6 linked regions of the Canis lupus familiaris genome follow. The protein of the gene in region 1 interacts with the protein of each later gene in a pairwise test. Links are inferred from orthologs where the notes say so. Each region holds a gene or a part of one and is shown in the gene's direction. Other genes may lie near its edges. The genes, in order: RNF41, ISCA2, UBE2K, ASB6, C15H1orf109 and VPS52.

The links.
Region 2: the proteins of RNF41 (region 1) and ISCA2 interact in binary tests that used the Homo sapiens proteins (3 or more experiments, as listed by UniProt). The link is inferred for Canis lupus familiaris from reciprocal best matches to the Homo sapiens genes RNF41 and ISCA2.
Region 3: the proteins of RNF41 (region 1) and UBE2K interact in binary tests that used the Homo sapiens proteins (3 or more experiments, as listed by UniProt). The link is inferred for Canis lupus familiaris from reciprocal best matches to the Homo sapiens genes RNF41 and UBE2K.
Region 4: the proteins of RNF41 (region 1) and ASB6 interact in binary tests that used the Homo sapiens proteins (3 or more experiments, as listed by UniProt). The link is inferred for Canis lupus familiaris from reciprocal best matches to the Homo sapiens genes RNF41 and ASB6.
Region 5: the proteins of RNF41 (region 1) and C15H1orf109 interact in binary tests that used the Homo sapiens proteins (3 or more experiments, as listed by UniProt). The two-hybrid records come from large-scale screens. The link is inferred for Canis lupus familiaris from reciprocal best matches to the Homo sapiens genes RNF41 and AIRIM.
Region 6: the proteins of RNF41 (region 1) and VPS52 interact in binary tests that used the Homo sapiens proteins (3 or more experiments, as listed by UniProt). The link is inferred for Canis lupus familiaris from reciprocal best matches to the Homo sapiens genes RNF41 and VPS52.

The regions. Positions count from the first base shown.
Region 1 is NC_049231.1:867,130-870,629, reverse strand, and holds part of RNF41 (E3 ubiquitin-protein ligase NRDP1), read left to right. Parts: coding exon 1-118; intron 119-870; coding exon 871-1,006; intron 1,007-1,498; coding exon 1,499-1,602; intron 1,603-2,429; coding exon 2,430-2,781; 3' UTR 2,782-3,500. UniProt on the Homo sapiens protein: Acts as E3 ubiquitin-protein ligase and regulates the degradation of target proteins. Polyubiquitinates MYD88. Negatively regulates MYD88-dependent production of pro-inflammatory cytokines.
Region 2 is NC_049229.1:47,966,805-47,971,045, forward strand, and holds the start of ISCA2 (iron-sulfur cluster assembly 2 homolog, mitochondrial), read left to right. Parts: upstream 1-1,441; 5' UTR 1,442-1,515; coding exon 1,516-1,586; intron 1,587-1,755; coding exon 1,756-1,858; intron 1,859-1,987; coding exon 1,988-2,103; intron 2,104-2,695; coding exon 2,696-2,870; 3' UTR 2,871-4,241. Other genes in the region: NPC2 (NPC intracellular cholesterol transporter 2 precursor), read right to left, coding at 930-1,011. UniProt on the Homo sapiens protein: Involved in the maturation of mitochondrial 4Fe-4S proteins functioning late in the iron-sulfur cluster assembly pathway. May be involved in the binding of an intermediate of Fe/S cluster assembly.
Region 3 is NC_049224.1:73,290,153-73,293,652, reverse strand, and holds part of UBE2K (ubiquitin-conjugating enzyme E2 K), read left to right. Parts: intron 1-92; coding exon 93-192; intron 193-3,500. UniProt on the Homo sapiens protein: Accepts ubiquitin from the E1 complex and catalyzes its covalent attachment to other proteins. In vitro, in the presence or in the absence of BRCA1-BARD1 E3 ubiquitin-protein ligase complex, catalyzes the synthesis of 'Lys-48'-linked polyubiquitin chains.
Region 4 is NC_049230.1:54,248,449-54,251,519, forward strand, and holds the end of ASB6 (ankyrin repeat and SOCS box protein 6), read left to right. Parts: intron 1-88; coding exon 89-197; intron 198-813; coding exon 814-900; intron 901-1,024; coding exon 1,025-1,692; 3' UTR 1,693-2,571; downstream 2,572-3,071. UniProt on the Homo sapiens protein: Probable substrate-recognition component of a SCF-like ECS (Elongin-Cullin-SOCS-box protein) E3 ubiquitin-protein ligase complex which mediates the ubiquitination and subsequent proteasomal degradation of target proteins.
Region 5 is NC_049236.1:4,885,377-4,889,617, forward strand, and holds the start of C15H1orf109 (uncharacterized protein C1orf109 homolog), read left to right. Parts: upstream 1-1,441; 5' UTR 1,442-1,730; coding exon 1,731-2,005; intron 2,006-3,826; coding exon 3,827-4,006; intron 4,007-4,241. Other genes in the region: CDCA8 (borealin), read right to left, coding at 727-855, 939-1,035. UniProt on the Homo sapiens protein: Part of the 55LCC heterohexameric ATPase complex which is chromatin-associated and promotes replisome proteostasis to maintain replication fork progression and genome stability.
Region 6 is NC_049233.1:2,852,072-2,854,985, reverse strand, and holds the end of VPS52 (vacuolar protein sorting-associated protein 52 homolog), read left to right. Parts: intron 1-1,126; coding exon 1,127-1,238; intron 1,239-1,446; coding exon 1,447-1,565; intron 1,566-1,761; coding exon 1,762-1,908; 3' UTR 1,909-2,414; downstream 2,415-2,914. UniProt on the Homo sapiens protein: Acts as a component of the GARP complex that is involved in retrograde transport from early and late endosomes to the trans-Golgi network (TGN).

The DNA.
Region 1 (3,500 bases):
CCTGCGACAACGCTGTGTTTGGCTGTAGTGCTGTTGTCCGGCTTGACAACCTCATGTCTCACCTCAGCGACTGTGAGCACAACCCCAAACGGCCTGTGACCTGTGAGCAGGGCTGCGGGTGAGATTACTTCCCTTCCTCTGCCCTGCACAGATGAGGGCCTTCTGGTTGATGACCACCCTTCCCGCACCCACACTCCCTGTCCCCAGTCCCCCATCTCCAGAGCCCCTGCTCACCAGCTCGGGAGCTCTCCGAGCGTGAATGTATGCAATGAGCGTCCTTGGCCTCCCTGGCTCCCCGCCCTAAGATCTGACTTCGGTGATGCTTTTTCAACTAGGATCTTTTTGCTCTTGTTTGAATGAAAGAGAGGAGGAAGCAGGTCCCAATCTGCGTGCTAGAACTAAGGGATGACTCCCTCTGTTCTTCCCCGTCAGCCCAGTACTCCTTTTTCTTTGTCACTATGACTGCTCTAATTTCGAGGCTTCTCATAGTTCCTTGCGCCTTGTTATTTTCTTTCTTTGGACTGTGAAATATTTGATTAAATGCTGCTGTCTAGCTAGGGCTGTGAATCTAGGGCTGCTCAGAAGGAATGGGTACATAGGCAGAATCTGTAGGAAGAAAGGAGAGCTGTGTGGCAGATAAAACACTCTTAGAAAGTGCAAGAGGCCCAGAGAAGGTAGAGAGCAAAGGAGCATGGGGGGCGGGGGCACGGGCGGGGCTGCTGGGGAGAAGGAAGTGAAGGGAATAAATAAGAGGGAGGCCTGAATGTTAGACACCTGGGCTAGGAGAAAAGCCTGTCGGCATCTCCTGCCTTCGCCCACGTGACCCATTGAATGCCCCTGTTCTGCTTTCCTCCCCACTCCGGGTGGCAGCCTGGAGATGCCCAAAGATGAGCTGCCAAACCACAACTGCATTAAGCACCTGCGCTCCGTGGTACAGCAGCAGCAGACACGCATCGCTGAGCTGGAGAAGACCTCAGCTGAGCACAAGCACCAGCTGGCGGAGCAGGTAGGGCCCAGAGATCATTGAGAGAACCTGCCTCTCATGTGCAGGTAACTGTGGACAACTGTGTGTGTGTGTGTGTGTGTGTGTGTGTGTGTGTGTGTGTGTGTGTGTGTGTGTGTACATGCCACGTGTGTGTGCAGATGACGGGGTAAGAAGCACCCGTGTGAGCAGGTGGGTCTGTGCCTGTGCTCGTGTGTCTGTGTGAACAGATGCTCCGCCTGTGGCTTGGTTGGGAATCGGATGGGAGCTCTTCTCCTTCTCCATCCCGTCAATGTTACTCATTCACCTAACATTTATTAAATGCCCCCTCTAAGAAGGTCCCCGCCAAGCACTCGGGTTACACTAGGAATGAGACAGTCCCATCCCTGTCTTTGTAAAGCTTACAGGTCTGGTTGTTCCTCGCATCTCTCAGCTGTCCTCATTCTAAGACACACTTTCGTCTTCCATTTGTTGTCTACCCTAACCGTCCTCTCTGATTCTCCTTCCCACCCACAGAAGCGAGATATCCAGCTGTTAAAGGCATACATGCGTGCAATCCGCAGTGTCAACCCCAACCTTCAGAACCTGGAGGAGACCATTGAATACAATGAGATCCTAGAGTGAGTGTCACTCAGGACATGGAGTCACTTGCTCCACGTCCTGGCACTGAGCCCTGAAAGGAGGAAGAGCCGGGGAGTGGCAGAAGGAGGGTAGTAAGAGGGCTGGGCTGGGGCCACGGCGTTTCAGATAATTGGGATGAAGGACAGGAAGAGAACTTTCAGCACCACTATAGGATCTTAAATTCTTTTGGGTGGATTGAAGGGAAAGCTTACCCAAGGATTCAATTCATCTGGACTTAAGTGAGTATGCACACGTACAAAGCCATGTTAAAGGCTGTGGGGAAAAAAAAGGCTGTGGAGTGCTGGGAGGGCCAAGAAGAAGGAAATACTGTCCTTATTGTCAGGTAGCTTACAACCCAGAGGAGTGAGTGAGTGCAAATCCAGGAGAGTGATCTAAAATGCAGCATAAACAAGCAAAGTCTAAAATCTGTTTCAGTGCTGGGGTTGTGTACGATTCACAGACTAAATTCTTAGTGTGAATCAGTATATTATATAATGCAAATGGTGCTGTGTGGGACACAGTATACAGGAATAATTGCTTCATCCGATAAACATTTACTGAGCACTTAGTACATGCCAGGCACGTATGTTCTATGTATTGGGGTTTCTAAGAAAGATGACAGGAACTCTTCACTTGTAGAGTTTAATCTGCTGAGTGACATGTTGGGACTCCTAGGGGACCAGCTAGAAAGATGTGGAGTTTCTGAACCAGTGATGGAAAAAGGAAAATGGAAGGTCAGGGTTGAGCTGAGCGCAGAGCAGGAGAAAAAGCCAATGCAGAGAAGGGGAATGAGCTGGAATGACCACCTCTAATCCCCTCCACACAGGTGGGTGAACTCCCTGCAGCCAGCCAGAGTGACCCGCTGGGGAGGGATGATCTCAACCCCAGATGCTGTACTCCAGGCTGTAATCAAGCGCTCCCTGGTGGAGAGTGGCTGTCCTGCCTCTATTGTCAACGAGCTGATTGAAAATGCCCACGAGCGTAGCTGGCCCCAGGGTCTGGCCACCCTAGAGACCAGACAGATGAACCGGCGCTACTATGAGAACTACGTGGCCAAGCGTATCCCTGGCAAGCAGGCTGTTGTCGTGATGGCCTGTGAGAACCAGCACATGGGTGATGACATGGTGCAGGAACCAGGGCTTGTCATGATATTTGCGCACGGCGTGGAAGAGATATAGGAGATCTCGACGGGCTAGCAGGAAGAGATGGCAATCAGAAAACCCATCACTCCAGCAGCTGGTCCCTGAGTCCTCCCTACTATTCATAGTACCGTGGCTTACACATGGGCCACACGTTTCCCTACTCTTCTGGCACTGAAGGGCCCAGGGCACTTTGCTCAACCTTTCAGGTGGGAAACCCAGATTCCTTCCTTTTGCCTGATTTCTTCCCCTAAGATGTCTGTAAATTTTCAGTCAGTTTGGGAAAGTCCCCACCTCTATATCTGTTTTCCTGCCTAGGGTCCCTGGTTCTAGATATTTTTAGAAAGCACAAAGAATTCATTTTCTCTAGAGGATCAGGGTGGAGTGAGGAATATCTAATCGTTCCCCCTCCTCCAAAACCAGGGAATCGGAGCAGGCAGGCTGGTTGACACTAAACAGCATGAGAGGGCAGCTCTGGGGAGCAGACATCCTGAAGAAATGGTAGGGATGGAATCAAAAACCCTAGAAATTAGCAATGAGGCCAGTAACTGGCCCCCTTAGGGGAAGACTGGACCTCTGTGCCAAGCAATATCCTGTCCGGCCCACCTTACAGGTGTAGGCTCCTGCTGGTTCTGCAGGTGTGCAGGTTGGGATGCTGAAAATTTCTAGGTGACTCTTCTTTCCTACATTTTTTCATAACTAGGGAATGACAGGGTTGGGGGTAGGGGATTAGTCTGTTGGGGTGGATGTGCTCAGCA
Region 2 (4,241 bases), on another chromosome or scaffold:
ACACTAAAATACTATGGCACGGTTTCCCCCAGGCAACATCTTTCCCAGGGAAAACCTTGACACAAAATTGAGATCCACCAAAACTCATCAACTGCATTACTAAAAGGCTGATAGATTGAATTTCATGTAATCATAAAACAGCATAAATAGAAATCTATGGATCTTATATTACAGTGCTTTATACACATATCACCAGTCTTGGCCCCCCAAAAAAGTAAAGCTATTTTATTAAGTATAAAATAGTAAAACTGTGCCTGCTAATTACATTTTCTACCAACCAGAAAAATGGCAGCATACATGGAAAATATAAAGCTCCTTTGGATCACATATCATAGTTCAAAAGAACTATAGCTTTTCTTTGCCTATTATGCAGAAATGTAGCTGTAATTGGCAACACGAGTTTTATATCCAGGAGGAAAAAGTGATTAAGAAGCACAAAATCATATAGCTCAAAGGAAGCGGTGATGGAAGAAATCATGCAAAGGAGAATGGACTTTTGACTTGCCAGCAAAAAGGGAAATTTAAAAGAAAAGCAAACGGCGTGGGGAGGGAGAGGGCATCCGAGATAAGGGGCATACAAAAAAAGGAAGTTGTGACACCCCCCACCCGCCACCCCCCACGCCCCGCGCAGCACTGGGACCTTCCACGGCCGGCCCTACCGACTTCAAGAACTTCAGCAAAAGGCCCAGCTCCAGGAAACGCCCAGGGACCCCAATCGCGCGTCCCAGGACAGAGACAAAGTTGCGTGCCGTCGGGTTTCGCCGCGGGCACCGGCTCCCTAACGGCGGCCCGCCGCAGCCCGCTCCCGGAGGGTCCCACGCCGAGCCCCGCCGCCCGCGGGGCCCGCCCCACCGAGCCCGGGGGCTCGGGGCAGGGTTCGGGGGGGCTCCCGCAGAGGGCGCGGGAATCTCGGGCAGGTTCGGACTCACCACAGTCCTTGAAATGCACCGGCTCCGCCAGGGCCGAGGCGCCGAGCGCCAGGAGCAGGAACGCGGCGACCAAGAGACGCATCGCGGCTAGACAGGTTCCAAGCGCTCCAGGGAGGAAGAAGCGACCGCCTCAGTCACAAGATAACCTGCCGGGGTGGGCCAGGGGAGGATCCCGGTCAGGCGACCAGTCACCAGTAACCCGGGCTGGGCCCGCCCGCGGCCCGCCCGCGGCCCGCCCCCTGCTCCAGGCTCCCGAGAGCCGCGTTTGGCTCGGGCCCGCCCAGACGCCGGCTGTCTCCGCCCATCCTGCCCGCCCCGGGCCCCGCCGGCTAGGCTCCGGCTCCGCCCCGCCCCCTCCCCGCCCCGGCGCTCCGCCCCCTCCCCTCCCCGCCCCCTCCCCGCCCCGGCGCTCCGCCCGAGCCTCTTGGCACGCCCCCTCCGTCGTGAGAGCATCCCTAGCCAATCAAATCCCGTCTCCTCCAGCACCACCCAATAGGTGTGCTCGGAGGCGGGGTCTCCGTGGGTGGAGACCGGGGATTGGAGCAGAGGATTGGAGTGACGCGAGGGGCAGAGTCTGTGGAGGAAGATGGCGGCCGTCGGCGGGTTGTCTGTAGCGGTGGCTGCGTTAAGGGCGGTCACTCCGTGGGCAAGGGGCAGGTACCACGTCTACAAAGGCACTTGGGGAGGGTGTTAAGTTCTGCGCCTCCGGGTCTAAGGGGGAAACTAAGGCCTGCGGGGGAGGCGAGGGTTTGGCGGGAGGCTGTCCAGGTGGAAGCCACCAGGTGTCCCTCTGCTGCGGGGCTCATCCTCCTGCCTTGCGCTGCAGGCTCCTCGCGGCCTTTCGCGGACCTCAGGCTCGTCGGGAAACGTCGTCCTCCAGCCCCGAGGCCGGCGAAGGGCAGATCCACCTCACTAACAGCTGCGTCCAGGTAGGCGTGCGGCGACTGCCCGGGGTACGGGGACTGCCCCTTGGCCTCCCCTTCTTTCTCTCTTTGCCTGGCGTTCTTGATCCCCACCCCCCACCCCATCTTTTTTTTTTTTTTTTTCCTTCAATTCAGAGGCTTCTGGAAATCACCGAAGGGTCAGAATTCCTCAGGCTGGAAGTGGAGGGAGGTGGATGCTCCGGATTCCAATACAAATTTTCACTGGATACAGTTATCAACCCCGACGACAGGCAAGAAGGAAGGGGTGGGTCTTCTGAGAACGTGTGGGAGGGATAAAAGTGGACGTTTAACTTCAAATTTAAAGGATCTGCTAATGGGATCCCTGGGTGGCGCAGCGGTTTGGCGCCTGCCTTTGGCCCAGGGCGCGATCCTGGAGACCCGGGATCGAATCCCACATCGGGCTCCCGGTGCATGGAGCCTGCTTCTCCCTCTGCCTGTGTCTCTGCCTCTCTCTCTCTCTCTCTATGACTATCATAAATAAATAAAAACAACAACAAAAAAAAAATAAAGGATCTGCTAAGAACGCCTAACACCACCATTCTCACGCAGTGGGAGTACAAGTGAAGATTTGTTGTCATGACTCAGAACAACCATGTTATAGGAGGAAAGTTGGCCTGCCTAGGTCCTAAGTCCCTAAACATTGACCACTATTCATTCCATTGACTCTTTGGATCAGAGAAAAGCAAAAGCAGCACCTGTTTTAGAGGTAATGAGGAATGCCTCACCTGTATTTGGTCAACAGGATGTGCACCTTGGGGCTCAGAGGATATTGTGTATTTGGTGTTTATGATCGTCATTAATGTTTTCCTCCTGTCTTTTCAGGGTATTTGAACAGGGTGGGGCAAAAGTGGTGGTTGACTCTGATAGCTTGGCCTTCGTGAAAGGGGCCCAGGTGGACTTCAGCCAAGAACTGATCCGAAGCTCGTTTCAAGTGTTGAACAATCCTCAAGCACAGCAAGGCTGCTCCTGTGGATCATCCTTCTCTATCAAACTTTGATGTAACAACAGGTGATCCAGAGATTGCCACCGCTTGTACCAGTTTGAGGAACCTGGGATTAGTAGAATTCTAGAGGTTTCCTTCCAATCATGTCCTTCTCTCAATTTTATTTCCCTCAGTCCAGGAATGTTGTGTTTTGCCACTGTTATTTTCAGAATATGAAGCTTTTACACTTGATTTAATTCCACTCACACATTTCTAAGGCTAAGCCTCCAGGTGCTGTGATCTAAGATCTACTGACTGGTTGAAACCCACCCAGTATAATCTGTAGAGCCTCCAAGCTTCCAAAATTTGGAGTTTGTTTTCTGAGCTTCACAGCTGCTTATATATAGGTGTATAGCTATGTATAAAAGCTTCATTTTGAAGAAAGTCCTTATTTACTTGTGTTCTGGATCAGGGTCACAGATTGGGTAGCTTGAACACCGGCTAGGCTAGAGAGGATGAGAAAGGCAAAGGGAAGATTCTTTTTTTCATCTCACTCTTCTGAATGTGCTAGTTGAAATCCTTCTTTTTCTCCACTTCCCATTTGTTAGGGTAGATATATTTTTCTCTCTTACTAGCCTGTGTGCTAGATTCATAAAACCAACAGCCCACCCAGAAAACTTGGATCTAACTAACTCTCACTGATAACCTGAATCATTTGAAAAATAGTCCCCATACTCCATACTCACACAGACACTTAAAGATTCTGTGATCATTCAGTGACTGAGTCTTTTTAGGATACATTGTTTCACTTAATGCTGTAAAATGTCACTGGTCTCCTGCTTTGCAGGAAGTGGTCCATTTATTGGTATAGATAATGGATAGTTAGGGATTTTCTTTCAGGTTGGATTACCAGATAAAATGATGCCCAGTTAAATATGAATTTCAAATAAACGACAAATAACTTTTATTATGTCCCAAATATTTCATGAAACATCTACTAAAAATTATTTGTCATTTATTTGAAATTCAAATTTAACTGGGCATTGTGTATTTTTATTTGTTAAACCTGGCAACTTTTTTTTAGGGTCACTGAAAGAAAAGCTTTTAAAGCCAAGTCCATTAAATTTTAAAGTTATTGTTTGGGTATGGCACTTAATTAGGCTACAGAACTAGAATAATTGTGGCATGTATGTGACAGTGCTGGGGGATCCGGAACTGTGTGGACAGACAACTAAAAAAAGACAAATCCCACCATCACAACAAATGATTTATTAATGTTTATGTTGGGGAAACCACAACCAAATTGATTCAAATTGATTCTGGAAAAATTATTGGTTAAGCCTTTGTTTTCCTAAAAGTTCATTACAGCAAAAACTTAAATTTCTGAACTGGATTGGAATTAAGGTCATTCAGTAGAAGACTTTACCATTAAAAAAGGAAATGCAG
Region 3 (3,500 bases), on another chromosome or scaffold:
TAGCTCCAGTAGTTTTTATATTCAGAAAATCACTTAACTTTTGTCACGCTGCATGTTCTTAACTGAGATGTTTTCTTGTTTTGTTTTTTTAGGGCTGCAGCAATGACTCTCCGCACGGTATTATTGTCATTGCAAGCCCTTTTGGCAGCTGCAGAACCGGATGATCCACAAGATGCAGTAGTAGCAAATCAGGTAAGACTTGCTTGTACTTACCTATGAATTTCTACTACTGTAGTGATTTGCAGTGTTAACACATGAGCATAGTTCTATTTAGAAAGACTAAATTTGGAAATGGTTTTCTTTCTCATGGTAAGATTATTTTGTCAGATGTAATAGCGAAAACCTACTGATTTTTAATACACTACTTTGAGTATATGATGCTTTTTAAAAAACTTAATGGAAATTTTCAAACACAATGTCAAAATATTTATATAGTGAATACGCATATTCCTACCTGCATCTGGATTCTGTGATTAGCATTTTACTATACGTGCTTTATCATGTGCGTATCTATCCATCCCTCCATTTAGTGATAATCCTTCCCTGGTAATTTTAACCAGCTCTTGCTGTGACTGAAGTGGCATAGTGTAAAAGTTACCAAGGATCTTAAAATTGCCAGATGGAATAAATATTTTTTAGTTTTGATCTTTCAGTTGATGTGATCTCCAAGGCAGAGGTCCGCAAATTACACCTAGAGTTATTGTTTTTGTAAATAATGTTTTATTGGAATACAGCCACATCCATTTGTTTACTTATCTGGTCCTGTGAGAAACCCTGTTCTACGCCATTAGGATTTACTGAGCTTTTTTTTTTGTCCCCCACTTGGAATTTTTTTCTTCTCTTAACTTCTAACATACTACTCTCTTCTCATCTTGGTAGTTGTAGTTATTCCTTCTTAGTTCCTACAATTATTTCTTTTCTTCCTTCTAAAAAGAGTTCCTTGGTTTAGACATCATTCCTTTTACTTTTACTGTTGTATATGGTCACATGGATGATCATATCTACACTGATACTATCACCTGTAAGTTGAGAAAATGTTTAGGCATTACCTCTCCTTGAGTGCAAGAGCCTGTTCAGAACTGGATAGTTATATATGTTTCATGGATACCTCAGCATAGCATTCCCAAAACTGAATGTAGAATCTTAAATCCTCAGGGCAGCGCGGGTGGCTCAGTGGTTTAGTGCCGACTTCAGCCCAGAGCGTGGTCCTGGAGACCTGGGATCGAGTCCCACATCAGCTCCCTGTATGGAGCCTACTTCTCCCTCTGCTTATGTCTGTGCCTCTCTCTCTCTCCGTGTCTCTCATGAATAAATAATCTTAAAAAAAAAATCTTAAATCCTGCAAACGTGACCATCCTTCTATGATACCATCGCCTATTTAGTTAAGTATCCAAGCCACAGACTTGAAATTCTCTGTGCCTTCTTTTCTCTTGGTGATTCCATTCCCAATATCTCTCATACTTCTCTGATCGGCCTTAGTTCACATTTTAAAAAATGTCTTAGTTCAACTGCTCTGATAGCTGTCCCTTCCTTCATCTACTTGATAGCAGTGAGCTTTTTAAAGTAGAAATCTTACTTTACTACTAAAAACTTATTAGAAGCTCGGATATCACCTACTTGGTAAATCCAGATTCTTTGGTTTGCAGAGTTTTTCCATGATTTAACTGTCCACAAAACCAGCTTCATCTCCTAAATTCTTATTATTCCTCGGACTCCCGTTTTTTATGGACTCCTGCTTTTTTTAAGATGTCATTCATTTCTACCCGTCAGTTCACCTGGTCTGCTATGTTTCCTCTGCCTGGTTCCTATTAATAAACCTGTTCCTTTCCCTTGAAAAGCTGTTTGCTCTGGGGTACCTGGGTGGCTCAGAGTTGAGCATCTGCCTTTGGCTCAGGTCGTGATCCTGGGCCCTGGGATCGAGTCCTGTATCAGGCTAGCCTCTCTCTCTTCCTCTCTCTCTCTCTCTCTCCCCCTCCCTCTCTCTCTCTCTCTCTCTCTCGAATGAATAATTAAGATCTGAAAAAAAAAATCTGTTCACTCCTTATTTTCTGTATATCCTTATTAATATAATGTTTGTTTCAGAGTGCTTAGAATTAGGGTTTTACATGCTATATATATGTGCTGTTCGTTCGCTTTTGGTAGTCGGCATGGCTTGAAGTCTCAACTTTGATTTCCTGTGGAGTTATGAGCCTCAAGGGCTGAGGCTGGACATGGAACTTTCTCCAGCTCCTAGAACAGTTCAATAATTTGACATATTTCCTTGTTTAGAATTCGCAAGAATTCTTAATACAAGTAGAAACTAGATGTATTATTTTAATATATAATAGAAGCATATCAGTCTTAGAATACTCAATACATATAATTTTACTTATTTTTCAAAAGATTTTACTTATTTTATTCATGAGAGAGACAGAGAGAGGCAGAGACATAGGCAGAGGGAGAAGCAGGCTCCCTGCAAGGGATGCCAGCACTCCAGAATCAGGCCCTGAGCCGAAGGCAGATGCTCAACCACTGAGCCACCCAGGCATCCCCATGTAAAGTACTTTTAAAAGGAATACTAAAGTGAATTGAACAGTTACTTTAAATGTATATACTTCCATTATTAAGTAATGTTGGTTCCAAAGTATTTAAGAATAAATTTATCTGGGCAGCCTGGGTGGCTCAGCGGTTTGGTGCCACCTTCAGCCCAGGGTGTGATCCTGGAGACCCAGGATCAAGTCCCACGTCAAGCTCCCTGCATGGAGCCTGCTTCTCCCTCTGCCTATGTCTCTGCCTCTCTCTCTCTTTCTCTGTATCTCTCATGAATAAATAAGTAAAATCTTTTAAAAAAACTAAAAGTACTGTATGGTGGGTTCATAAACATCTCAAAACATGGTATAAATTAAAATACTGCATATTAGGGCATCTGGTTGACTGACTCAGTCTGTGGAGCATGCAACTCTTGATCTCAGGATTGTAAGTTTGAGCTCCATGATGGGTGCAGAGATTACTTAAAAATCTTGTTTTTTCCTTTAAGTTGGCTCCATGCCCAACATTGAGCCAGAACTCAAAACCCCAAGTAAAAGAGTTGCATGCTTTACCTCTGAGCCAGCCAGGTGCCCCCAGAATAAAATCTTTCTTAAAAAGCCTTTGCACATGGTATTTTCTTGAATCACTGTATATTAATACAGTTTCAGCAAAATAGCAAAGTCCACTTGTATTCTATTCTGAGCTGTGGTTAATATGAAAGTTGGTTTGCCTGGGTGGCTCAGTGGTTGAGAGTCTGCCTTCAGCTTTGGGGCATAATCCTGGGGTCCGGGATTGAGTTCTGCATCGGGCTCCTGCATGGAGCCTGCTTCTCCCTCTGCCTGTGTCTCTGCCTCTCTCTCTTTCTCTCTTGTCTCTCTCATGAATAAATAAATTTAAAAATATATATATGAAAGTTGGTCACATTTGTTACTGTCCCTACAATTTTAGAAGCAGATAATTCTCTTTGGTTGTATAATGTTTCACACTTTGCA
Region 4 (3,071 bases), on another chromosome or scaffold:
CTGCTCTGAAGCAGGGATGTGGTGAGTGGGGGGCTATGGGCAGCCTCACAGGCCCCCAGGCCCATTCAGCTATGCTTTCTTGGCTCAGATCCATGAGAGCAGCCCCTTGGACCTGGCCAGTGAGGAGCCCGAGCGCCTGCCCTGCCTGCAGCGCCTCCTGGATCTTGGAGCAGACGTCAACGCGGCTGATAAGCATGGTGGGTGCCTCCCACAGGAAAGCAGGGCACCTGGCACCGGGTGCTTTGCGAGGGAAAGCCAGAGCACCCCAGGACAGTGGCTAGGTGTGCAGGCTAGATTTTGCTGCATTTTGCTGACCTGCAGAAGCTTTCAGGAAGTGGTGCAGCCATTGGCCCCACGCCAGCCCCTTGAGGTCTGTCTGCAGGAGGAAGTAGGGCATGCATGTGGTCAGATTCTGAGGCAGAGTTAGCACTTCTTGGCAGAGACTAAGCCCGGGTCTCAGGTAGCAGCATCTGCGTGTCCAGAAATATCCCACGTCTTCTGGCCACTCTGCTCTTGGTTCTGTGTTGGTGGAAAGGGAATGACTAGAAACCGATCACCCTCCACCTTGGCTGAGAAGTTGGTCCTTTTTAAAGTTTGCTTTCTGGGGGGTGCCCAGCTGGCTCAGTTGGTAGAGTATGTGACTCTTGATCTCAAGAGTTGTGAGTTCAAGCCCCATGTTGGGTGTAAAGATTACTTAAAATCCTTGAGGACAAAACAAAGTCCACTTTCTCATCCTGTGGTGTCCCCTGCACCTGAGGGGTGGTCCTGACCTTGGTTTCCTGGTCCACACTCCTCATTCTCTTCCTTCCATAGGAAAGACTGCTCTGCTCCATGCTTTGGCCAGCAGTGACGGGGTGCAGATCTATAATACTGAGAATATCCGGCTCTTACTGGAAGGAGGTGAGGCTGGTCCACAGGCTGTTCCCAGGCCCTTCTCTTTCTTCCCACCATTAAACATGAAGCATTACTTTGCAGGGATTTAAGACCTTCTCCTGTTTTCTCTTTTCCTGACTGGCTCTTGTAGGGGCAGATGTGAAGGCTACCACCAAAGACGGGGACACTGTGTTCACCTGCATCATCTTCCTGCTTGGTGAGACGGTGGGAGGGGACAAAGAAGAGGCCCAGATGATCAGCCGCTTCTGCTTCCAAGTCACACAGCTGCTCCTGGCCCATGGGGCTGACCCCAGCGAGTGCCCAGCCCACGAGTCCCTCACACACATCTGCCTCAAGAGCTTCAAACTGCATTTCCCTCTCCTGCGCTTCCTGCTGGAGTCTGGAGCTGCCTATAACTGTTCCCTCCATGGTGCATCCTGCTGGTCTGGCTTCCACATCATCTTTGAGAGGCTCTGTTCCCACCCAGGCTGTGCTGAAGATGAGAGCCACGTGGACCTCCTGCGCAAAGCTGAGACCGTCCTAGATCTCATGGTGACGAATTCCCAGAAACTCCAGCTGCCTGAAAACTTCGATATCCATCCTGTGGGCAGTCTAGCAGAGAAGATCCAGGCCCTTCACTTCTCCTTGAGGCAGCTGGAGAGCTATCCTCCATCCCTCAAGCACCTATGTCGGGTTTACATCCGGCTCTATCTTCAGCCCTGGCCTGTGGATGCGAAGGTCAAAGCCCTACCTCTGCCTGACAGGCTGAAATGGTACCTCCTCAGTGAGCATAGTGGTACCGTTGAAGAGGACATCTGACCACTCCCGGATGGAAGGGTGCAGGGTCTGGGCAGCTCAGCCTGCTGGTGGATTTTGGTACCTGTGGCAGCCTTAGGGGAGAACCTTCTGGCCATCTTCCGGAAGGTACAGGTTGGGAGAGGAGACTTGATCCTAACTGTGTACCAAGAACACAGGTGGAGCCCAGCAGCTGCGGTCATTCCTGTGGGAAAAAAACTCTGTCTTCCAGGGGGACTGCCCCCCCTTCTGTCTGCCAGAACCCCCAAGTCTCAACCACATTGGGAAAAGGGACAGGGTGTAGATTTGGGACAAGTGTACACCTCGTCTGCAGGGAGCATCAGGCAGGGTAGCTTTGAGTCTCTGTCCTCCTGAGAACTGTAGGAGGCTGGTCTGTCTTGCATGGGGCCCAACTAAAGCCAGAAGGAAGCATGGTAGGCTTGTGGGGGACAACCCTGCAAGGCCCTTCACTCCCAGCCTCTCCTCATGCTAGATTATGTCACATACAGAAGTGCTTTTGGTGGGCTAGGGAGAAAGCTGAGCTGACCCCTGCCACCTTTGGCCGTTCTGGGACCAGGTCACCCACGGCCCAGCCACCAAGGCACGGGACTGGACTCTGGTGGCAGCTGTCTGTGCCAAACCTGGGACCTTGGGAGACCATGTCTTCTGCTAAAAGCAATTCTGCATGACCAGAGACAGTCCTTTCCAAAATGTCTCACAATTTTGTGAGGGGTCCATCTGATGAAGAAAGCTACACTGCTGAAAGCTGACTGTACTGCCCAGGCCGAGCCCTCACAAAGCCGAGTCCCAGGCACATGGGCCCTTATGAATTGTGTAAATGCTGGGGAAGCAAGCTGAGGCAACTAAAGATACATTATAAAGTAAAACATTTCTCTTGGCCTTCAAGGTGACATTTTGGCCCCTCACCCTTCCCCAGCCTCAGATAAAGGCTCCCACTGCAGCCATTAAGAGGTGAGAAGCACTAGGGGACGGCAGCATCTGGTGGGGACAATTAACACAGCACTGCTGTCCCAGTTAAAAAAGAGTACCACTCCACACTGGCTAGGGCCTTCCCATTACAGGATTCACCCTTTTATTTTCTGACTGAAAATGCTCACCGAGGAGGAGCTGCCAGGCCCAGCCAGGAGTGAGGCTGCAGACTTGTAACGATCACATTAGGGACACCAGGGCTCCATCACCACACAGGCCTCAGAAAGCAAACATCCCCAGCAGCTGCAGGAGGTAGCAGGCCTGCCCAGGCTCGCCGTAGCAACAGGGTGACAGTGCCAGCTCCAGGCCCGGCTCCTCTCCTCCCCCCAAGGGAAAAAAGTCCTCTATGACCGAGAGTTCTCTTCCTCTTAAGGCAGCCAGGCCTACAGCTGGAAGGCCAGGTGGTACAAGGG
Region 5 (4,241 bases), on another chromosome or scaffold:
CAATTTGAACACAACGTGCTTTTCTATGCAGGACGGAACCTACATAATAGCTAATAATAAAGAAACGAGGAAAAGTAAGGGCACCCCAGAGCAGAAACGAGAGCCTGTCGCATGTCCTTGGGCATTTAACATGGGGGCCAGAGAACAGGCTGCAGTTTTCTGCTGGCCAGAAAAACTTGAGTCCTTGCGCTTCACAATCTGATTTGCCCTTTTTTTTTTTTTAACTGACGGTTTCCATGAGATGCAGAAAGTACGGCTTAGGGTTCTCCAACCATCTGAGCTCTGGTTAACGAACCAAGTTATTCAGGTATCCGTTTTTAAGCGACTGGATAAACTATCCAAAAAAAAAAAAAAAAGAGAGAGAGAGCGAGCAAGTGAGAGAGAGCGTTTTGTGACACAAAAAATGCACACAAATTTCACATTTCTGTGCGTCCCTAAGTAACGTTTTCCTGGAACACATACATGCACCTGTTCAATCCAGCAGTTTTGGGCCTAGAACAGCTTGAATTGAGTAGCTGCAAAGCTTCAAGAATTCAGTATGGGGTCCTTTAGAGGGGATGGATGCCTGCCTGCCTGCCTGCCTGCCTGCCTGCCTACCTGCGGGGCAGATGACGTCAGAGTCCTGTGCAGACAGGTGAAGCAGGGAAGTGCAATAAGCAGCGCAGGGGGGCGGGGGGCGGGGGTGATCACCGCCGGCCGAGGCCTGGGGACGCGAGCGGCTCTTACCGAAGTAGTCGAGCCAGTTCATCTCGCGCAGCGCCTTGGGGAGCCGCAGGATCTCGATGTTGTACAGGTTGTCCATCTCCTTGAGGAGGTTCTGTGTGTCCGACTGGATCTGCTTGGACCGTATTTGCACTGCGGGCAGGGCACACGGGCGGGTGAACCGGGGCCCGGGGCCCCGCACCCCACCCCGCCCGCACCCCGGCTGCGCCCCCTACCTTCCCGGTCGAAGTCCCGAAGAAAGGAGGCGAGCTTCCGGCTCCGCAAGGAGCTGGTCTTGGCCACCCGACTGCCGCCCTTCCTAGCCGGAGCCATGGCGCTTGGGTGGAGGCTGCGGGCGCCCCCGGGGCGTGGGGGGGGGGGGCGGTCAGCGGCCGAGGTCGCGGGAGAGGCCGGGCGGGCGCCCTAAGGGGCGAGCGGGGGGCACAGGCTGCCCCGGGGAGGCCCGAGCTTAAACGAGGCGCGGGGCACGTACATGCGGGTCGCCGAAAGCGTCCAAGAGAACCCCCGCCTCCGCAGCCGCAAGGACGGAGCAGCTCCTTGCAGAACCCGACGTGCAGCCGCCGCCGCCGAATTCAAACCGCCACCGGCTGACGAATCAGAAGTCGCCGTCTTGGGAGGCTCCCGCAACATCCAATCACAAGGACGCTCCGCCCGTAGGACTACAGCCCCCAGAAGGCATCGCGCGTTGCGACCTCCGTTTGCGCCGCGGCGGCCGCGCTGGAGCATGCGCGGAGAGGCGGCGAGGGAGCGCCGGGCGTGGGTGCCCCGGTGGGCGCCCCCGCTTAGCCGCCGCGGGCTTCCAGGGCTCCCGCCGGTTCGGGGAAGGCGACCGGAGCTGCCAGGGGAGGAGACAGAACTCGGGCTCAAGGCCCGGGTTTCGGGACAGCGCTGCGACCTGAAAGCGGGGCCGCCCCCGGGTCGGAGGGGGTACACGGCGCTTGCGCACGGGAACCCTCGCACCTGGGCCGCCTGGCGCTGCCCGCCGGCCTGGGCTTGTCCGGCAGGTGATGGCGCAGGACCAGCCTCTGCTCGCCGTGCGGGAGGCCCTGAGGGGCTGCTTCCCCGCCGTGCAGGAGCAGCAGCGCCGCTGGCGGGGCGCGCTCGGGGACTGCCAGCCCCTGCTGGCCGCGCTCGGCAGCCTGGCGGAGCAGCTGCAGGCGGCTCAGGTCGCGCGGCTGGACGACGCGCCCCCGCTTCGGGCCTTCCCGGGCCTGCGGGAGCGGCTGCGGCGCAAGCAGCTGGAGGCTGGCGACGACGTGTTGGACAAGCTAGGGGAGACGCTGTAAGAAGAGCTCCGCGCGGGAGGGTGGAGACGCGGGGGCTCCCTAAGCAGCTAGGATCAGTCGGAGAGGGGGTTTCCCCTTCCCTGGAAGGGAAGGAGGTGTCGCAGCCTCGCCTCTTCTCCATTTGTTGCAATGGGATTTATTGATTGATTGATTGATTGATTGATTTTATGCATGGGACGCAGGCAGAGGGAGATGCAGGCTCCACGCAGGGAGCCCGACGTGGGACTCTATCCTGGGTCTCTAGGGTCACGCCCTGGGCTGCAGGCAGATGCTCACCCGCTGAGCCACCCGGGGGTTCCCCGCAATGGGACCTCTTGTCACAAAGTCGTTTTACAGGGGCACCTGGCTGGCGTGGTCAGTCGGGCTTTGGGCTCTGTGGTTTTGGCTCAGGTCGTGCTCTCAGGTGGTGAGGTCAAGCCCGGCGCTGGGGCTCTGCACTCAGTGTGCAGTCTGCCCTCCTTCCTTCCCTTCCTCCCTTCCTTCCTCCCTTCCCTTCCTTTCCTTCCTCCCTCACTTCCTCCCTTCCCTTCCCTTCCTTCCCTTCCTTCCCTTCCCTTCCTTACTTTCCTTCCTTCCTCCCTTCCCTTCCTTCTTCCCTTCCCTTCCCTTTTAGAGAGAGGGGATAAGTGGGGAAAGGGGCAGAGGGAGAGAGAGCATTTCAAGGAGACTCCCAGCTGGGCGCAGAGCCCCATGCAGGGCTCCCATGTCACGATCCGTCATGACAACATGACCTGAGCCAGAATCGCAAGGGAATGCATCCCTGACAAAGGCACCCCGCGCGGATAGGCCTTTTCTCGACTAGAGCAAAATAAGTGTCCAGTGTATACGGTCTGTGCCCTAGGCTAACGGGAACAGGTCGAGTACAGGGATCTTCTTTGTAGTCATTTGTACAAGAGAGCTGAGCACCTGTAATTAAGCCACGCACAAGGTGGTGGGAATATAGCAATGAACCAGGCTTGGTTTCTTTGTAGATTAGAAGAGAGAGAGTTTTTTTTTTTTAAGATTTTTTTTAAAGATTTATTCATTTATTTATGATAGACATAGAGAAAGAGAGGTAGAGACACAGGCAGAGGGAGAAGCAGGCTCCATGCCGGGAGCCCGACGTGGGACTCGATCCCGGGACTCCAGGGTCACGACCTGGGCCGAAGGCAGGCACTAAACCACTGAGCCTCCCAGGGATACCCCTTTTTTTAAGATTTTATTTATTTATCCATGAGACACACAAAGAGAGAGGCAGAGACACAGGCGGAGGGAGAAGCAGGCTCCATGCAGGGGGCCTGATGTGGGACTCGATCCCAGGTCTCCAGGATCACGCCCTGGAATAATAAGAATATTATTACTATTATGCTCACTGTGAGCTGGGCACTTCCCTAAGCACTTTATAAGCATTATTGCATTTGATCCTCCCAAGAACCGTTTCACTCCATTCATTCATTGAACAAGTGTTTGTCATTCTACGTGCCAGTCTCAGGGTTGTGAGCACTTAGGGTGTGCAGTGAGCAACACCATTTTTATACATGATTGAGCGTTAAGTAACTTCTCCTATCTGCAGTAGTCTCTCTCTGTGCACCCAGAGCAGTTTTTCCCACTGGGACGTTTGGCAGTGTCTGGAGACCCGATTGATTGTCCTGACGTGGTTTGCTCCTCTCATCTAGCGGGTAGAGGCCGAGGATACTGCTCAGCATCCTAACACGCACAGGACAACAACTCTCCACCACAAGGGACCGTCCAAATTGAAATGTGCATGTGCTGAGGTTGAGGACCCCTGCCTTAGGGTCCTCTCGTGGTATTGCCTAATGTGAGACTTTTCCCCCCAGAGCTACCCTCCTCAAGGTGCGTGACGTTGTCAGCAGGCACGTGGAACAAGTGTTTGAGGTCTATGAGCAGCACGCAGACGCGATTGGCATTGATGCTGTCCAGCGGGCTTCAGCGGTGAGCCCCTCTGTGGCTGACATGTTGGAGTGGTTGCAGGATATTGAGAGACACTATCGAAATGCGTATCCTTTGCGAATATGTTTCAGACAGCATCCAGAGCTGTCTCAGGAAGTTTTTCATTTCAGTTTTCACGAGAGCATACGACTATAGAGTGCAGGTCAGTTCTCATTGTCTTTGAACTTGGGGAAAAATGAAACGGGGCAAGCGAAGGGCGAGGGTGGGGCTGTGATCTTAAACATGGTAGTCAGGAGAGGCCTCACTGAGATAGTGACATTTGAGAAAAGACCTAAGGAAGAT
Region 6 (2,914 bases), on another chromosome or scaffold:
TCTTGGTTCCTTTTCTGTCAATAGCCATCAGTGATCACTGCCTACATCCATGAACTAGATTTCCATAACCCTCAATGTCTCAAAATTTCCCATCTCATCTGTGCTACATTTTAAGTCATTTCTTCAATTATAAAATTCAATTTGCTGTATCATTCTTCAGGTATTTCTAATCTGCTGTATAACCTGTTGACTTTTTAAAATTAAAGACTTTTAATTTTTAAGTCATCTCTTGAAAGTTTCATTTTGTTTCAAGTCTGTCCATTCCTCATCTTGTTGAGTCGTCATCTTTGTGTCTATATTTTTAATTCTTTGAATGTTTCATACAGAACTCACAACTGCTGTGTATATGACAGTTTTTTTTTAAAGATTTTATTTATTTATTCATAGACACAGAGAGAGAGGCAGAGACACAGGCAGAGGGAGAGGGAGAAGCAGGCTCCATGCCGGGAGCCCGATGTGGGACTCGATCCCAGGTCTCCAGGATCACACCCCAGACTGCAGGCGGCGCCAAACCGCAGTGCCACCAGGGCTGCCCGTATCTGACAGTTCTGATGTTGGCAGTCTTTGGTATACCAGTCTAAGTCCATTGCTTATTGTTTATACTGTTTCTCATGGTAGTTTCCTTTCATATGTGTCTGACGATCTTTGAGTTCATTGCTCTGTCTTAATCAGGGGGAGTCATATGGGCCTAAAATGAGATTGAGGATATTTTTCTGTCAAGAGGATTTGCCTCTGCGTTTACGGTAGGCAAATTACTGAAAGACCTAATCCACCTCGATTTATGTCAGCACCCCTTTGAGGCTCTCACAAGAGGCCCAGGCTCCGCTTCTCCACTTGAGTCTGGCATCAGGCTCAGATTCCAGATAGCAGAGTTGCCATCGCCATTTGTCTTCTGGCAGCCTTGCCTCTCCCAGCTTCCTACCTTTCTGGTTCTGGCTCTGATCCCAATTACTTGTGCTTTGCTCCCCAGTTCAAGTTTAGTGTTTTGGGACCATTGGTGTCTTAAAGTATGTAATTTGCTCTGGCAATATTCTGAGGATCTAGTCATTCATGATGCCAGAAGTGGGAAAATGTCTTGATACCAGGACATTTGACTATGTGTATGTGTGTGTGCTTATTTCTACAGGAATTCATTGAAGAGTTGTTGTCTCCCCCTTTTGGGGGTCTGGTGGCATTTGTGAAGGAAGCCGAGGCTTTAATTGAACGTGGACAGGCTGAGCGACTTCGAGGGGAAGAAGGTATGCAGATGATGTGGTCAGGTGGTGGAGTTAATGGTAAGGGGAGTGGAAAAGAAAAATGAGAGGAGGCAGATTCCATGAGGAGGGGGTAGAGCAGGAAAATGAGATTGGATGTGGAAGAGGGCTGTGCCTTGGGGAGGACGTAAGGGTTAAAGATCACCTAGCCAAGTCCTTTTCTGAGACCCTCTCTCTTTGCTCCTGCCATCAGCCCGGGTTACTCAACTGATCCGTGGCTTTGGTAGTTCCTGGAAATCATCAGTGGAGTCTCTGAGTCAGGATGTAATGCGGAGTTTCACCAACTTCAGAAATGGAACCAGTATCATCCAGGTAACTTGCAGCTTCCAGGCCTCCCTTCCCTCCAACCCCTATCATTAGTTGTTTTCTCTGGGCTCAGCATCATCCAGGTGACCCATGACCTTCAACTACCAGCATGCCCAAAGTTCTGGATGAGCCCTAGCCTGATTCCTGATACCATCTCTAGCACCACTCCACAGCCTGATCTTTCATGACTTTCTCTGACCAGGGAGCTTTGACCCAGCTGATCCAGCTCTATCATCGCTTCCACCGGGTACTCTCTCAGCCCCAGCTCCGAGCTCTCCCTGCCCGGGCAGAGCTTATCAACATTCATCACCTTATGGTGGAGCTCAAGAAGCACAAGCCCAACTTTTGATGCGCCAGACCCTGGGATCCACCCGCCTTCTCCATGGACTTCCGTACCCCATCCCAGACTCTTCTTCATCTGGGGTTTCCTTAACAGTTGTCCACCTGCCTCCCAGGTCCTTGACATGCCTCACCCTGCCTCATCAGAATAAGCTGGATCACCTTGTTTTTGGGTTCCCAGGACCACTCCCCCCGGGCTTCCAAAAGCCTTTATCATTTCCCTGATTTCACCACCCCTTCCCCCACACCCAAGTTCTCTTCCCCCAGTAAAATCTTTACTGTTTCAGTCTCAACTCTTGTCACCATGGCCTGAGGTGCAACGCCTCAACTCTTGGAATTGGTGGCAAGGCAAGTCATTGATTTTTTTTTTTCCCCTTTCACTCAGTGATTTCTTTTCTGTAGCTTTTTGACCTAAGATCTCAGCAACTTGAACACTAACAAGACCTCTCCTGGCTTGAGAGTTACTCCAAGGTCAGTCTGCAGAAAACAATAAATATTTAATATGACATAATACTCTTCTCTCATTTCCTTCCTCCTTCTTCCTGGGGCCTTCAAGTGGCCCCCACCTCTGCTCCAGGATCACTTTTTTGTTCTGGCTCTCTCCTGGGCTTATCTCCCTTCTGGTGGGTGTCCAGAAGAAGGGGTACAGATAGTAACTTCTAATCTCTAGCTGCTTCAGGCCAAAGAAGTAGCAGCGTTGGTTTTAGGGAGGGGACTGTGTCGTGAGTAACCAGCCTGGTGGAGGAAGGTGGCCCCTGGTTAAAAATGGCAAATACCTCAAAAAAAAAAAAAAAAGGGCAGATCCCTCAAGGGCTGGGAACACGGTTGTACAGCCTCAGGCACTGTTCCACAGGCTACCTTGATTCCCTAACAGGGGCTTAACTTGCATGGGGGGCTGGAGGGCTGTAGCACTCACACCAGGGCGGGGGTGGGACAGGTTTGCAGCGTGCCTGTTTCATCTATTTCTGTGTTTGCTTCCTACTGCACCCCTACACCTCGTTTGAACTCAGACTCTA